Caenorhabditis elegans: one gene and its partners. The protein of the gene in region 3 interacts with the protein of the main gene of each other region in a pairwise test. Each region holds a gene or a part of one and is shown on either strand. Other genes may lie near its edges.

Region 1 (3,707 bases), 1.4 Mb from region 3:
TTTATTTAGCCCTTATACAGGGAACCAGAGCTTGTTTCTTATCATTCGCCCCCGGAATCCTTCCTCCATTCTCACATGTAAAATAAATACGTTTGTCCAGAAAATCACAAACAACATGCACAACTGAATAGTTCCGGCTGAACAAAAGACTGGATTAGAAGTATAAATATCCAAATAGAGAAAAAAACTTATCAAACTTTTAGTTGTGTGTCCACTTCTTGTTTTATTATAGGCTCTTTGTCTTTTTTGTTTCTTATCTTTGTGCCGATAAAGAACTGAAACCAAAAGTGTCAATGGACTGTCAAAAACCACTTTTCAAGACCTTGTTTAGTGGCTCCACTTTGAATAAATAGCTGAAATTCCGAGTTTGTATTTTTTTCAAGAATTCAAAATTTTGTTATATTTACAGCTTTAGGGTGTGTAAGTGTTGACATTTCAAAACTTGTGCGAGAATTCTCAAGAGAATTTTAATTTTTTTTGTAGTTATTGCATTATAGTTTCAACGATTTTGGCATACTTTCTTAAAGGCGCACAGAGTTATTCAGATAGGTCTCGATGAGCAAAAAAGTTTATGGTAGTTTCTTTTAAAATGTTTATTTTGAAAAATTATTTAAAACAGTTTTAACAAAAGTAAAGAAAGGCATAAAATTCACCTTAAAAAACTTTATGCTTCAGATCGAGCTGAACATTATAATATGATCAATTCCAAGCCATATAAAAATGAAAATCCTAAGAGAAGAAATGAAAAAAACTTTAAAATTTACGACCAACCTTCGAACCTATCACCTCACCCATCAAAAAACAGGTTTATCTATCAATTTTCAATTTTAACACAGAGATCCCAAACCATTCACATGTTCTTCTTATTCAAGTCAGACCACCTCAATGGGTGTTACACTTTAGATTGTCCTTTTTATCTTTATAACCTTGTTCTCTTTTTGTATTCTTTATATCATTCGGCAACGAACGAATATTTTGCTCTCTTTTATTAATTTTGCGTTTTTTTCGCTAAAAATACGGTACACGGTCTCGAAACGACACATTTTTGTTAAATAAAAATTGTGTGCACCTTTAAAGAGTACTGTAATTTCAAATTTTTTTTTCCACTTAATTTTCATCGATTTTGCATAGTTTTTCAATAAAATTGTATTTATTCGATAAGAATAACGCAAAAAATGAGTTTGAAATTACAGTTCTCTTTAAAGGAGCACACCTTTTTGTTATAATAAAATTGTGTCGTGTCAAGACCTTGGACCGTAGTTTTGTCCAAAAGTCGCATAATTTCGCGTCTGGGTAATATTTTTCTTCAGACAAAAATTCAAATTTCAAAACTTGTTTTCATTAAATTCCATAACATTTTTGTTTCTTATCACTATACGATTCGCGAAGAAAAAAAAACAACAATGGGAGAAAACAAATTATGCAAAAATAACACGAGTGGGGGTGGAGCCATGTGCTCTGCGTTTTCTTTCTCCTCATTTCTCATTCTTTCCCCTCTTATTTTATGCGCCCTGCTCAAAATCGATTTCGGCTCTCCCACGTATGTTCCTGGGAGCTCATGAATACAAAGAGCATTTAGAATAATGGTAGATCTTTGTTTTTCATACGTGAATTTTGACACTTTTTCAGTTACTTTTTTGCCTACAAACCGCATACGTATTCGTTATCATAGGTAATATGACTGATATGACGATCAATTTTCCTCCTATTCTCTGCCAACACAAAGGTGTAACAGATGCAACGTCGCGCCGCCCTATCGCCTTTTGCATTCATTGAAACTGGCGCCACCAAATACTAACCGCCTATTAACTTTAATCTTGTACAGTTCTTTAACCATTCATCTTCCATTTTTATTCATCCGTGATTTTTTTTTTTAAAGTTAATTTTTATTTTCATTTCAGCGGAGTAAGCCATCTCACAATGCCAGTTCCACAATCCGAGCAACTCGTAAAGCTTTTGGAAGTTCAGAGTGTAAAGCTGAATGAAGTGCAAAACAATTTGAGACTGAATCGATATAAAGCTCAACAAGATATTCGTCAAGCAATCGCTGCAATGATTGTATCACTTAGAGAACGCGAAAGACAACTTATTGGAGATCTAGATAGAGCATTCTATAAAAAAGAAGGAAAACTCGTGAACCAGATGGATATTGTTGCCGAAGAACTTGGTGAGTGACGAAATTTATTTGCTTTCAATTATTTTTCACATTTCTCTTCATTTCAGCCGCTTGTAATCTTGGGCTCCCTGCTGGCAATTCTATTCTGAATGTGGATGATGACGTACGTCTTGAGCTGGATCTTCCGATCTCAGACATCAGAGCTATGCACGAACGTATTCTCAAGATGGGAGAAATTCGAATTTCACAAAATTGTCAACGACTTCCAATGAAGAAGGTCGGACGTACTTTGCCTCTTGATATGGAATCATATGACGACGACAACATGTGGCTTTTGACCAAGAAGAGCAAAACTGACACATCTCCTGAAACTCCACACGAAGTTGATACTGTGAAGAGTTGGCTGAGCCGTCTACCAGATGGAAATGCTGCTCTCAACGTCGACTTATCGTCTTTTGTAAGCGGAGAATCGAAAAGTGAAAGCTCGGAGAGCAATGCAAGTTCATTTGAACTTCTAAATGAAGTGGCAATGTGCTTGAAGTATACTGCCAACGCCGACAAGGCATTCCGTGATAGAATTGAAACTATTCACAACGAGCCAGCTAGTAAATGGTTACTTCATTCCGATGAAGAAAGCTCTTCAACACACCTACCACGCCCTCCAGTTCCAGCAAGATTCCGAGATGATGGTGAAGACAACGAGGATGATTTTGAGAGAGAGGACATCAATACCGAATGGTGAGTATTTAATATTAGTTTTGTGGAAAGCCAACTAGAAATCTATATTGCCACTTTAAAAAATTTCATTTATTTTCAGCTCATCTGACTCATTCAAATTCATCGATGTTATCAGCAAACTTCAAAATTCCGAAAATTCCAAATGGCTACAAGCACAACCAACAACTATAGAAATGAATGAAGATGAAGATCAAAGCCCTGCCGCAAATCACAGAAGATTCGTTCAGAAGTATTGCCAATAATGGTGTTTTTTTTTAATTTCATTTTTGAGCCAGTTCATCAATAATAAACAAATTGTACAGTTTATCAATTCATGAATTCAAATGTTCAAGTGCTCCAGGTTTATAGTCGACAGATTCCAAGATAATGTTTCCGTCGACAGTTCGGACTGGAAGAGAACTTTGTTGATAAGAATTCGGAAAAGTACACTTACCTCGAAATTGCTGATTAATGTTTTGTGCCCGACTGGCTTCTAATATTTGTTGAAGCAAATCAACTACACTTTTTGCATCTCCACTCATTTCAATTACTTCTGACTCCCTTGGAGGGATTGTTTGAGAGAAAACTTCTGATATAATTAGAAGAAAAAGAATTGAAAAAAGTAGAAATCTATGCATTTGAATATTCAATAGTGAATAATAAATAATAAACAAGTATACCTCCAAAAAGTGAGGGATTTTTCAATTTTATGGGATGATCATAAAACTAGATTTCATAATTTCAAAGTGAAAGTGAAAATGTCCAAATTGTACCTAATATTATTGTACTGTACCGGAAATACATAACAGAAACACATGTTTTTTTTCGTTTTTATTTTGTCCATTCTTCATACCAAAATGGATATTTTTGGGTT
Region 2 (3,532 bases), on a different chromosome or scaffold from region 3:
ATTTTCTAGGTCTGAACTGTCTTCTAATGGTATATTTGAACTCACACTCACGTATTTTATTTTATGGAATTGATTTCAAAGACACTAATCACGGTATACAAGCAGAGCATAGGTCAACATCATTAACCATTGTTGTCATTTCTTATCTAATCAGTTTTAGTTTTTCATGCAAAAATGATATTTGCACTTTTTCGCTACATCATCGACTTTTACAGATTCTAGAGTACTCTCTCAAAAAACTCATCTCGATTTCACTCAAAAAAGAACATGGAAGATGAAACCACAATTGTTGGAAATATTGTAATAGCTTTCACTAATCTACCACCTTCAGCACGTACTTTTCAAATTCCTCTTGAATTTGATTGATTTTTCCAACAGTTTTTATCGCTAGTCGTGTGTTTTACTTTTCATGTTGTGTTTCGATGTGAAGTTCTCTGATTCTGCCTGTTATTTAAAATTGATAGTAAACTTTTCGTACACCTGTTTGGTTATAAAAATCCACGTTAAAAAGTGATTCCGATATTTAATGAAACATTTATTGAATAATTAAGAGAGTAACATTTTAAGATGGATTGAAAGAATGCCGAGGCGTTGAAAAATTAAGCCGTATTGTTTCGTATTACAACAAACGAAAAAGTGCAATGGAAATGGTAAAGTAAAAGCAATAGTATCAAATCGAAAAAATGCTAAAAAAGCGATAGTAGCTAAAAGAAGAAAAATTAACACGGAAAAAGTAATTGGGTGATATTAAATTATTGATAATTGGTTACTTCTCCGGTTTCATCAAAATCTTCTTCATTTTGGAGTGTTTCCTTGATAGCAGACAATCGTTTCTTAGCAGATGCCAGATGTTCTTTCATTTTAGGTGAAGTTGTCTGAGAAGAGACACGTTCCTCGTAGAACTTTGTGCACAATCTTTGGAACTTCAAGTTGAACTGTTCGAACTCTTTTTGAGATTCTTCATATTTCGACAAGGCTTCGGATTTCATTTTCTTGGTCTCTTCAAGTTCATGTTTCAAAGCTTTGGTTCCATTTTTCATTTCATCAAGTTCCTTAGAGGTGTCGTTGTTTTCAGATTTCAATGTAAGAATATCACTTCTCAGACACAAAATTCTGACTTCTCTTTCATTGATTTCATGTACCAATACATCTTTCTCTTGTTTCAATTGTTGAGCTTCTTTGAAATATCTCTCTCTCGAATCCTTTTCCATATTCAATTCATATCTCACTCCCATACAAATGGCCGATTGTCTTTTGATAAATTCGTTCAAATTTTTCTCAACTTCAGTCATTCTTTCCTTGTATTCTTCAAAGTTCTTTTTGATTCTCTTCAATTCCATTTCTTGTTTCATCAATGTCATTTTGTTCACATTGATCTTCTTCTCATCATAGAATTCTTCACAAGCCTCGATAAAAGCATCCTTTTCATGAAGACGTTCTTTCAATTTTTCCAATGACTTTTGATGTTCTCCATTCAAATCTTCAACCTTCTTTTCCAAATTATTGATTATTGTGTAGAGACGATTGAGTTCCGAATCATGGCACTTCGCTTCCCCTTTCAGATCAGAGATCTCAAGTCGAGAATTGGCAAGCTCTCGTCGTCTGAAATTGAACATATTAAGAATGGGTTAGTACAATATAATCTATATAACAGGTTGCACGTTGTCCTAGAGTTCAAACAACTTACGTTTTCTGATGATCAAATCGTTCGTCATCCAATTTCATTTGAAGAAGTGCGATCTCCGATTTCAACTTGGACTCGGTGGGAGTGAAGAATGGATTTTCAGCAAACATAGTTTCAGTTCTGAAAAATATTTAATTGAAAAGAAACGTTTAGTGAAACTGCAGTAGAAAATACTAGAGCAAATAAATAAATGAAAAAAGGAAAGATGCACCTTTTGAGAATGTTAGGTGAGAATGAGTAATTGGATCGAAAAAACAGTGAGAGAGAACGATGGTGAGAATTTACAGCGTCCAAATATGGATCGATATTCACAATTTTGGAAAAGCGTTGCATTGTATGGTGATCTTCTGTCGAAGAACATAATATATTGATTGGATCGAGAGAAGTCATTCAGAATGTAGTTGACTCCAAATCTATGGCTATACTAAAATGGGCATTTTGTAAACGTTGAAAGAAACTAAATTTCCAATTCCAATTAATCTAGCTCCCACTATTGTTAATTCAGTACCATCGATACAAATCTCGCAGGTTTTATCAATCTTTCATCCCACTCAAACCTTAAGAAAGAAAAAAATGTTAACATTCAAAGATGTAAAAAAATTTTATCACTTTCAAGTTTCAAAAATTAATTTTGGCTATAAATATGCTATTCCAGTTTTTAATTGAAAATCTAGCAGTCTCGAAGGCCATATAAGCTATTTAAAATCAGATATACGTGCAATACGATCAGGAAAAATCCGGTACATGAAAAACCAAAGTAATACTTTTTTACACTATTTTATTTACACTAGAAATGTCAGTATTCTGAAATAGAGGGCTCTATTCTCTTTTCGTCTTCGGTTGAAGATTTTTTAAAGGAATTAATACAAATACACAATTACTTACTAGGACTGCAACTGGGATATCTCAGAAAATTAAAACAATCAAAATAAGAACAAAAAAATAAACGTACCGAATGGGACCTGGATAAAATGAGAAGAATGAATTGAGAACAACATGAATGAGAGTGAATGTTAGGTAGTTCATTACAGCGTCTGGATTTGGATCGATATCCAGAAAGGCTCTATGAGATCGTCTGCTTATTGTCTCCCTCTCCCTGAAACGGCAGATTGAGAAGGTACCAAAATATAAGGTCACAAAAACTGGTACCCTAGATTTATAGAACCATGAAATAGCTAATGGAAGTTAAGTTTATATGTATGGGGCTCTTCAAACTAGGATTTAAAAAGAGACAAAGGAAAGACTGAATTGAAGTATTAAAAACGTAATATATTTATTTGGCGGTCGCAGCGTCCGAACATGAATTGATATCCAGATTAAATCCGTTTTATTGTCAACTGTGGCACCTCTTTATCCTTAAAGTGAAAATTAAAATCCATAAAATGTACTCTAGACTGACGATGACACTCGGCTGAAATTTAATTATTTTAAATCGTTCACTTAAGTAGCTTCATTGATCTATTGAAACCAAAAATACAAACGAAATCCCACCAATATTTGTTGTAATTCCTAAATACAGAAGTTATTCAGACATTTGCCAATATTACCAACACTTCCATTTGATTTACCCTAGTTTTCAACACACAAATACTTGCATGTTGTTCTTAAATTTTTTTTTCTTTCTTAAGAAATAAAAAGAATATGATTTCAAAATGTGGCATGCAAATCTGACTATCAGACAATTGATAATGAGTCAAATCTTTGTATATAATTTTTTTTAATTAGCAAGATCTTTGTAATATTCTACTTTACTAAAGCTATTCAAGCATTTGTTGCCTTCTATCAGTATTCATCTAAAAAGTTTAATAACAGGTTTTAGACAAATTTCAATTTTTTTTTCGGGAAATG
Region 3 (3,128 bases):
CCAGATTCTTCAACGAATGAAGTCAAAGAAAGCAAAGATTGTTGAAGAAAAGGCTGCTGCAGTTGCTGGACCTTTGAGAGAGTGAGTAGTGAGAAAATTAGGCCTTTATCGTTATTCAATTCAATTAATTTCAGGAAGAAGGAAAAATCGGAGAGGAAAGGTGCTAAAGATCAAACAAGACAGAAGAGTCAGATTCACAGACAACAGTGGTTCAAAAACAAGGTCGACGGCAAGAAGAAGGGTACTGGTGGTGCTGGAAAGAAGGGAGCCAACAAGGCCAAAGCAAGAAAGGGATAATCTATGTTCTTGTTTTTTATTCAAATTTGTTGATTTTGATTCGTTTATTTTTTTTGTTACTTTCTTTTTTATTCATCAAATTTTAACATTCAATAAATAAATGTTCTGTTAAGTAGAAAATGTTACTTTTCTTCATGAAATGATGTTTTAGTTCTCGATTGTGAATTTACCTGGGATAGGTTATTTTATTAAATTTGTTCAGAGTTTTATATAATCCCAATTATTTTTCTCTGGCATGTTTTTTTTTTCTCTGAATGTAAGAAAGCCAACATTGATTCGCGATTTTCAAATCTATGAAATTAATAGGCGGAGTTTTCTTTGCCAGATCCAGCAACTCGGCCATCTTTCAAACCAAGATAAGTGATTTTAGATCATTTAACAATTTGCCTGTCAAGACTTAATATTTTCTCAACTAGTAAAGTGCTGTTCCCATTTACTCAGCAATCTGTTTCTTCGAAAGTCACAAATCGGTAGTGTCTCAATTTCCAAGCGTGCTCCATCGCACTCCCTTTAAATTTTGTCATCTTTTCGGCGTTCTCATCATTTTTCAACCTTCAACAATATATTTTAGTCGAAACTTCATTAATTCAGCTTAAAATGGCTTTGAACTTCCTCTCATACGACGATGACTTTTGTGGATATTGCGGCGCCATCTTGGAACTACCGGCACAGGCTCCAGCGACGGTCTCCTGCAAAGTATGCTCAACTCGATGGGCTGTGAAAGGTTTCCTGCTTTTAAGATGAATATATTCTAATTTTAAAATGTTTTCAGAAAGAGTAGATCAAGTGGTTAGCCGTGTCGAAAAGATCTACGAACGAACGGTTGCTGATACAGATGGAATTGAAAATGACGAGTCAGCGGATGCTGTTGTTGATCATATTTGCACAAAGTAAGAATATTTCCGGGGATTTTGAAACTGAGAAAGACTGAAACTAATTTCCAACTTTAAGGTGCGGTCACTCAAAGGCATCATATTCTACTATGCAAACGAGATCTGCAGATGAAGGACAAACAGTATTCTATACATGCCTGAAATGCAAGAAGAAGGATATCGAATATTCTTGATAACCTTTCGAGTCTTTATTTTTCAAATCAGATTTTTATTTCTGTTGTTATATATTGTTGAATTTTTGTTTTTGTTTCCTGAATATTCCATTAAGTTTCTTTTTATTCGTTTTTTTTTTCATTTTATTGGTACACTGGTCAATAACCAGATTTCCTATCTTTATCGGTTTTCAAATTAATGGTTGATTTCCACTTTAAAATTTATGTTTAGATGTCTCGTGGAAGCAGCGCCGGATTCGATCGTCATATTACCATCTTCTCTCCAGAAGGACGTGTTTATCAGGTTATAAAATAATAGTTGAATGTTTATAACTTTCCATGCTTGCTTCCAGGTCGAGTATGCCTTCAAAGCAATCAACTCTACCAATCTGACGGCTGTCGCAGTCAAGGGAGCTGATGCAGCTGTCATTGCCGTTCAAAAGCGTGTTCCAGACAGTCTCATCGTCGCTGATACCGTCACTTCGGTTTATCAAATCTCTCAGTCTGTTGGATGCTGCGCCATTGGAATGATCCCGGATGCTAAATTCCAAATCAAGCGTGCACAGGGAGAAGCTGCTAGCTGGAAGTACAAGAACGGCTACGATATGCCATGCGAGCTTCTCGCCAAAAAGATGGCTGATCTCAACCAGTATTACACACAAAATGCGGAGATGCGTAGTTTGGGATGTGGTTAGTAGAAAAATTTCCGAATTCTCTAACTTCAATTATTACAATTACTCAATTTCAGCTCTTTTGTTCATTTCCTACGATGACGAGAAAGGACCAGAAGTTTATCGTGTTGACCCCGCTGGATACTACCGTGGTATGAAAGGAGTATCTGTTGGAGTGAAACAACTTCCAGCGACCTCATTCTTGGAAAAGAAAATTAAGAAGAAGTCCGAATTGACATCCACAGAAGCTATTGAACTCGCCATTGAGGCTCTTCAGACTTCATTGGGAATCGACGTTCGTTCCAAGGATCTTGAGGTTGTCGTTGTCACCAAGGATAACTCCAAATTCACCAAGCTAACCAGCGATCAGGTCGAACATCATCTCAATCAAATCGCCAACCGAGATTAAATATTCATCGACCTTTGTATTTAAATATTTCCCGTTTCAATTGATCCGGTACCCAAATTGAATTAAATACCTGGTTTCCCTTTTCTAAATTTATTTATTGTTTTCTTTACTCCCTGTTTCTCGGTCTTTTTTATCATTGCCCTCCGCCCCTTTCTCTTTTGAAACTATTTATTTATCACTAAAAATCATGATAAAATGATTTTTGAAACACTTCATATTATTCATGTTGACTTTGATGGTGGTTTCGCAATCCCTGTTATTTATTTTTTAGTACGAATTCATTGAAGAAAACTGCAAGTTAAAAAAATTATACATTCAAAGTTTTAACAGACCATCTATTAAAATGGATGGTGCAGATGCTGAAGAACATGGAGGATTCCTCTTTTTTGTGCTCGCTTCATCCGTAGTTTTTATTGTGCTCTTTTTCACAAGGTAATCGATATTTCACGATAGCTAAAACTATAATCTAAAATATTTCAGACGTTACTTTAAAGGAGGTCAATTCAATGAAAGAGTCTCTGCAAAGGGATTAGTAGCCGTTGTGACCGGTTCTAATTGTGGAATTGGATTCGAGACAGTTCGGGAACTTAATTTGAGGAAAGCTGATGTGAGTTACAGAACTAATTGCATTGTTATAATTAATTGCTAATTACTAATTACATAAATTGCATTTGTTTCTAAACAATGCTATCCATATTTAAGTTAT
Region 4 (6,926 bases), on a different chromosome or scaffold from region 3:
TGGTTTTTTCAGAGTATTGTCCGCAACTATTGACCGTCGATTTTTCAAGTTGAAAAAATTAAAAAAAAATGTTGGCAATCTTTTCTTATTTGAACCCGTTTTTGGACTGCAATTTAATTATAAATAAAGTTAAATATTTAACAATAATCACAAAGATTGCCATCAGATTATCTAGAACCACAGCAAATTCTGAATACGTAAAAACCGCACCAAACCCGCTTCAAAAGCGCTCCAAAAGCGCTCTAAAACCGCTCGCAGAACATTAGAGTAAATTATTTGGCAGAACATTAGAGTAAATTATTTGGCAGAACATTAGAGTAAATTTTTTGGCAGAACATTAGAGTAAATTAATTGGCATATGATTTTGCCATACTTTTGAATTTTTGAAAGAATCAGCTTTTATATATTTTTATCAATTTTTAAAAAAATACTTCCGTACAAGCTATTATACTTTGATTGGCATTTTCTGGTATTTTTGACTATGCTGAAGAGTTTTATGAAATAAAAAAGAATGACTCCATATGATTTTCCCATACTTTTGAATTTTTGAAAAAAATCAGCTTTTATATATTTTTATCAATTTTTAAAAAAATACTTCCGTACAAGCTATTATACTTTGATTGGCATTTTCTGGTATTTTTGACTATGCTGAAGAGTTTTATGAAATAAAAAAGAATGACTCCATATGATTTTCCCATACTTTTGAATTTTTGAAAAAAATCAGCTTTTATATATTTTTATCAATTTTTAAAAAAATACTTCCGTACAAGCTATTATACTTTGATTGGCATTTTCTGGTATTTTTGACTATGCTGAAGAGTTTTATGAAATAAAAAAGAATGACTCCATATGATTTTCCCATACTTTTGAATTTTAGAAAAAATCAGCTTTTATATATTTTTATCAATTTTTAAAAAAATACTTCCGTACAAGCTATTATACTTTGATTGGCATTTTCTGGTATTTTTGACTATGCTGAAGAGTTTTATGAAATAAAAAAGAATGACTCCATATGATTTTCCCATACTTTTGAATTTTTGAAAAAATCAGCTTTTATTTATTTTTATCAATTTTTAAAAAAATACTTCCGTACAAGCTATTATACTTTGATTGTCATTTTCTGGTATTTTTGACTATGCTGAAGAGTTTTATATTTACTCATAATGGCAGAACATTAGAGTAAATATATAGAATAAAGACATTACATTTTTTTTTAATGCAAGATCAAAAAATTGTGCAATCTACATCCACTTGCTGAGCAAAAAATGCACAAAAAGTTCCGTGAAAAAATTATAAAAATCAAGAGATACAATTTCTTCGGTTTCGGGCTCTTTCATTTTCAAATCATTTGAATTTTTTTTGCAATGAGGCACAATGGAAGTAATTCGAAGTGATACGAGAGCGCTGGCTTGCCTTATCAGTGATTTTTTCGTTCAAACTTTATCACTATGTTTAAATAAAACCAAGCATTTCATTATTTGTTTGCCTCTTTTTCAAAGTTACTTTTACCAATAGCAATTCAATTTTTCAATGTTTCCAGTTCAAAAGTTCCTCAAATTTTCAGCCTAAAACATGGAAACGAGGCTTCTTGTCTTGAAATATGATATATTGAATCGGGAAGCTATTTGTTTGAACCGTGAAACCCATGAACTTCTTCACGCAAACCTTGTGGAAAGTGTACAGTAAGTTTTATTTCATGTTCTTTCCTGCCTGCCTGCCTGCCTGCCTACCTACTTTCCTGCCTAGCCAATTTTTTGAGAGAAAAATTTGCTGATTGCGCGTTGAGTGAGGTGCTTGGTGCATCAGAGTTCGACGCTCGAAACCGGTGACTCATTTTTCAATAATTTGGTGAAAGTTTAACTTACAACTTTGAACCCTAAAAAACTTGTGTGGCAATCGGCAGGTGGTTGCCGATTGCCAAAAACTTTAACTTTAGATATATGGAGCGTTTAAAAATTTGCAAAAAATGTGGAAAAAATGTGCAAAAAATGTGGAAAAAATGTGCAAAAAATGTGCAAAAATGTGCATAAAATGTGCCAAAAATGTGGAAAATACCAAATTTTTATTGAAATTTTCGAAAAATCTAAACGTTATTGGAGTGTTACAATAAAGTTTCAGGCCACAAATTGGCCAATTTCTGGCTGTCGAAAATCTGAAAATTGTTCAAATTGACGGTGTCTGCTTCATAAGTCCTGAGTGCGGAACCATAGTTATCGAACCGCCGGCTCCGGAAGATTGTGTCATATTGCCAAAGGAAAAAACCGATGTTGTCATGTTTAAAAGTTGGATTGGATTCAGTTCGGATCCAAGTCATCTCACTTATGATCGGAATATTGGATACGCCGATTGGTATGGTCCCGTCAATTGTTCACAGTTTAAAGCAAAAAACACTAAAGTCGCATTTTTTAAATATTTAATCGCAGTGTTAGTTCATTTATTATCAGAAGTTGAATAATTAATTTTTACCACGTTTAGAAATGACCTAGATTATAAAAATACAGGCGAATGTCTAATGAAAGCTGTTCAACTAGTAGGAGTAATTGATAATCGAGATGCTGCGGAAGTGCGTTTGAAAATGATGGAATTTGAAAGGAAACGAATTGCAGATATTCAGAGAACAACGTGAGTTTTTTTTTTCATCCTGTTTAAAAAGACACTGTTAAAAAGCACTCCTATGGTTCCAAAATGGCAAAAAATCATAGTAAAACTTTTTTTTTGGAAATTTTTAGTTTATGGGGTAATTCAAATAGTGGCGGAAAATTAAAAAGTGCAGAAAAATTACTGTGTTAAAATACATTTTAAAAAACATGTTTTTTTTATACAGCTGTGACGTCATGAATGCATTTAAATACATGTTGCAACATTACTTGAATAACTCCATTACTGTAAAAAAAATGAAAATTGCTCAGTTTTTGCCACTCAAAAATTTTGGAAGTCGGCCGAAAAAAGGTTGTTCCTACAATTTCTATATTTTAATATTGTTTTTTATTTTTCGTTTTAAAACATTCTAGGGGTCGGAACATGCGACATCGCACTGGATTTCCTTTAAAGCTCATACTCAAAAATTTGACAATTTGCCAAAACTTTGACTGAAATTTTTTTTTAATCTAAAATTTTTTGGAATATGTTTATTTAGACAAAACTCCCACTGACGCTACTCCACTTTTAAAATAATTGCAGAAAACAAACTCGTTTGATTGAAACTGTTGCCTATCCTATCCTGCCGTCGGCACATCAACCATCTTCAAATCATTCCTACACTGGAAGATCTTCGTGTGATAGTCTGAGACCACAACCGGTACCGGCGGCAAGAAAGTAAGATATCATTTCTATGCATAGACGCCTACCTTCTGCCTACCTACCTGAGTTCCTGGTTGTGCGTATTTGTATAACTTATGGTGTTTGTTTGAAAATAACTTTTATTTGACTTGGAACAACCGTGAAAGTGTTTAAAATTTGACCGAATTTTCTAAATTGCCGGTGAAAAATTGCCGCGCGCCTCTGATCATAACTACTCGTCGCAATCAAGCTTCAATTTCAGGTTAAGTGAACAACCGCAAACTGTACAAAATCAGGCTCCCTATAGAGAGCAAATCAACCAGCAACGCTCGGTAACTAACAGCATTTATGGAGAGTTCAGTGGTGTTGGACGTACTGATCAACCGCTTGAAACTGCAAATTCGCGAGGCTCAACTGAATATTATTCTGGCAGAAGTTCCAGCTCATCAGATCAAGTTATAAGAAAGTAAGAAATCATTGAAACAACTGAAAAGTTTACCCAATTTACAGTGAGCCCCAACTCCCAAATCCTGCACCAATACTTCCAGAATCAATGGGAATGGTCACGTATGAAAATGGAATAATGCAAATTGTATATCTTCGAAGCGTTCAAAAAGCGGCGATTCATTATTGGTACTTATTTTGGTACCTGTTTTTCAGCATGCATAAATTGACGATTTCAGGTCCAAACATCAAATTACAACTTCTCTGGGAAGTGTTTTCAATTGTAGTTTTAAGCCTATTCCAGTTCAAGCAACTACTCATTGGGCACCATTTGAGATTACGGTAGGCACAACTATGCAATCTTTAAGTGATTTCTCTTTTCAGGCAATAAATAATGTTAACAATGAAAAAAATGAGGTGAAAACCGTTGGAAAAGAATGTTTCGCATTGTTCAAAGTCGATCTTTCTCGGCCTGAAGGAAAGTTTAGTAAATGGACAACGATCGGAGGAAATCCGATTTTCAGCTGCGAAATTGTTGGTTATGTTATGTTGGCACATAGTGTGAGTTCACAATATTTTAGCATTATGAATTGATGTAATTGATGTTGTGTCAAATTTGCCGAATTTGCCGTTTGTCGAGCACGGCAAATATTGAAACTCAAATGAAAAAATTTTTATAAAAATTTTGTTCAAATCTCTAATGGTTTTGATCAGAGACTTAATGAAACAAAACATAACATCGTGTTTCTTTTATTTTTCAATTCAAGAAATTCACACGCGTATTAGCCAAAAATCGAACAAAAACCAGTAAACTTAGTTTAATCCATTAATTTTGGCAATTTTTAAGCTCCAAAAAATATTGCGATTTAGCGAGTCACGGCAAATTTTCCGAATTTTCCGTACTAGGCAAATATTTAAAAAGTCGATTTGCCGAAATTGCCGAACACAACTAGTGTGAAACTTTTGAAACCTTGAAAGAAAATAATTCTTCCTTTCTCAGGTACTAGGTCCCCAACAAAATCAGCTATCCATTCTGAACGTGGCACAGAATTACTACAACCGGAAGGTGGCCGAGAACATTTGTTGTTTCTGTCGATTTGTGCGTAGGCAAGTACCACGAATGATGGTCGATTCTCATTGGATTTCTGAAGATGAAGAAGTGGAAGTTTTTATATGGGAATTGGTGGAAATAGTTGGTGCCAGCGAATTATATAGAAAGAGACAAGAACAGTTGGAGATTGGAAACGTAAGCATTTGATCTCATGAAAAACTTTTTAAAGGTGGTACAGTCGAAATTTTTATTGCTATATGATAATTTGCACTTTTTCAAATTTAAAAAATTCCCGTTTCACCACTTCTTCAAGAGTTATTTTAGACAGTTCTTTTTCCCTTTCTTTCAAAGTTAGACTTGAAATTGTCTGAATAAACCTAATTTTATAATGAAACTTCTTAAAAACTTCTCAAAAAATAGTTATGGCGGCTCAAAAAATGACCTAAAATTAGTTGAAATTTGAAATTTGGCCAAATTGTGAAGCGGCTGGAAACTTTTTTTAAATCACCGTCTAATTTTAGGTAAACAAATTAATTATCTATTTAATTATCAAGTTTAAACTAACTTTAGGTGTAGTCGAATTTTTTATTTCTATATAATAATTTTCATTTTTTCAAATTCAAAAAATTCCCGTTTCACCACTTCTTCAAGAATTGTATTTTTTAATCTGTCATTGATGTGTTGCTAAAAACTTTACATTTTCATTAGAATTTTGATAAAAACTGACTAAACACGTTACAAAAATGCTAAACATTTCATATTTCACACGGAAAAAGTTTACAACCTCATTTTTGGAATTGTGACGTCACAGTTATTTTGAACAACTTGTTTTAGTTTCGTTCCGATTTTTTTCAAAGTTAGGTTAAAAAATTTAGACTCGAAATTGTCTGAAAACACCGAAATTCATGATGAAACTTCTTGAAAATGTCTCAAAAAAACGCTATGATGGCTCAAAAATGACCTAAAATTAGTTGAAATTTGAAATTGCTATATAATAATTTCCACTTTTTCAAATTTAAAAAATTCCCGTTTCACCACTTCTTCAAGAATTGTTTTTTTTTAAATGTCATTGATCCGCTTGTAGCTTCACCATGTACTTATTGGAATATTTTTAATACAAAATCCTTATTTCCCAAACTCTGCTTTTAAAGAATAATCTAACTTCCAGTTAGGAGACACTGCTGATAATGTGAAAAGACACAATGACGATATTGAGATGCAAAAGAAACGTGCTCAACAAGAACATTTTGCTCAGCAACAACGACCAGCAGGCAGTTCAAATAGTTATCAAACAGAAAATGCACAACAACACAGCATGTCAAACAACATGCAATATTATCACTCGCAGGCGCCTCCAGTATCTTCCAGATCTTCAATTAGTTTGGGTGAAACTGCTGAATTCAAAAATAAATTGGAACGAACCAATGATATGATGGAATCTCTGTGCGATGCGATTAAAAAGTTTTTGGACAACAGGCAGTTGAAGGAAACACTGAGAGGTTATAATCCGAGAAGACTACAAGCATTGGAAGAAAAATTGAAAGAGTGCTCGGAGCATTTGGAAAATAACTAGTTATGTGAAAAGTTATTATTTGAAAAGATAAACGAGTTTATGCTATGAAGAACGTTGTTGCACTATTCTAGATGTATCAGCCGAAATTGCCATTTGCCGGAAAATTACAAAACCGGCAAATGCCGGAATTGCCGTTTGCCGGAAATTTTGTAAGCCGTCAATTGCCGAAAATTTACAAAACCGGCAAATGCCGGAATTGTCATTTGCCGTACATTGCCGTACATTGCCGAAATCGCAAATTTCCGGAAAATTACAAAACCGGCACTTGCCGGAGAAACCGTTTTCCGAAAATTTACAAAACCAGCACTTCCCGGAATTGCCGTTTTCCGAAAATTTTTTAAACCGGCAACTGCAGAAAATTTACAAAACCGGCAAATGTCGAAATTGCCAATTGCCGAAAATGAACAGAACCTACAATTGTCAAAATTGCCGATTGCCGAAAGTTTTCATTTTTCGGCAATTTCTGACATTTTGAATTTATCTTAATTTCGAAGGAATTGAGTAGTCTGGGAGTTTGTTAGAAAATCTGAAGCGGTCGAATTAAATTTGAATGTATTTATTTAACTTTGAAAGTGATGC

The links.
Region 1: the proteins of pas-1 (region 3) and W07G4.5 interact in a two-hybrid assay, tested with the Caenorhabditis elegans proteins (3 studies listed by BioGRID).
Region 2: the proteins of pas-1 (region 3) and vet-1 interact in a two-hybrid assay, tested with the Caenorhabditis elegans proteins (3 studies listed by BioGRID).
Region 4: the proteins of pas-1 (region 3) and F52G2.3 interact in a two-hybrid assay, tested with the Caenorhabditis elegans proteins (3 studies listed by BioGRID).

Annotation. Positions count from the first base shown.
Region 1 is NC_003283.11:13,046,079-13,049,785, forward strand, and holds W07G4.5 (RILP-like protein 1), read left to right. Parts: upstream 1-1,901; 5' UTR 1,902-1,920; coding exon 1,921-2,167; intron 2,168-2,223; coding exon 2,224-2,854; intron 2,855-2,933; coding exon 2,934-3,096; 3' UTR 3,097-3,160; downstream 3,161-3,707. Other genes in the region: W07G4.8 (TonB-dependent receptor), read right to left, coding at 3,166-3,242, 3,288-3,471.
Region 2 is NC_003279.8:6,200,273-6,203,804, forward strand, and holds vet-1 (Very Early Transcript), read right to left. Parts: upstream 1,805-3,532; 5' UTR 1,795-1,804; coding exon 1,688-1,794; intron 1,603-1,687; coding exon 753-1,602; 3' UTR 526-752; downstream 1-525.
Region 3 is NC_003283.11:14,421,065-14,424,192, reverse strand, and holds pas-1 (Proteasome subunit alpha type-6), read left to right. Parts: upstream 1-1,574; coding exon 1,575-1,646; intron 1,647-1,695; coding exon 1,696-2,032; intron 2,033-2,090; coding exon 2,091-2,422; 3' UTR 2,423-2,627; downstream 2,628-3,128. Other genes in the region: rrsr-1 (Ribosome biogenesis regulatory protein homolog), read left to right, coding at 1-81, 135-297; rpoa-12 (DNA-directed RNA polymerase subunit), read left to right, coding at 895-1,021, 1,070-1,187, 1,249-1,363; dhs-22 (DeHydrogenases, Short chain), read left to right, coding at 2,766-2,854, 2,903-3,029. UniProt on the Caenorhabditis elegans protein: The proteasome is a multicatalytic proteinase complex which is characterized by its ability to cleave peptides with Arg, Phe, Tyr, Leu, and Glu adjacent to the leaving group at neutral or slightly basic pH.
Region 4 is NC_003282.8:13,542,869-13,549,794, reverse strand, and holds F52G2.3 (RSD-2 N-terminal domain-containing protein), read left to right. Parts: upstream 1-1,564; 5' UTR 1,565-1,572; coding exon 1,573-1,682; intron 1,683-2,118; coding exon 2,119-2,424; intron 2,425-2,475; coding exon 2,476-2,622; intron 2,623-2,739; exon of another isoform or gene 2,740-2,760; intron 2,761-3,180; coding exon 3,181-3,315; intron 3,316-3,541; coding exon 3,542-3,745; intron 3,746-3,789; coding exon 3,790-3,912; intron 3,913-3,962; coding exon 3,963-4,065; intron 4,066-4,107; coding exon 4,108-4,284; intron 4,285-4,723; coding exon 4,724-4,969; intron 4,970-5,447; exon of another isoform or gene 5,448-5,472; intron 5,473-5,847; exon of another isoform or gene 5,848-5,868; intron 5,869-5,942; coding exon 5,943-6,347; 3' UTR 6,348-6,390; downstream 6,391-6,926. Other genes in the region: Y45F10B.13 (Chitin-binding type-2 domain-containing protein), read left to right, coding at 13-33.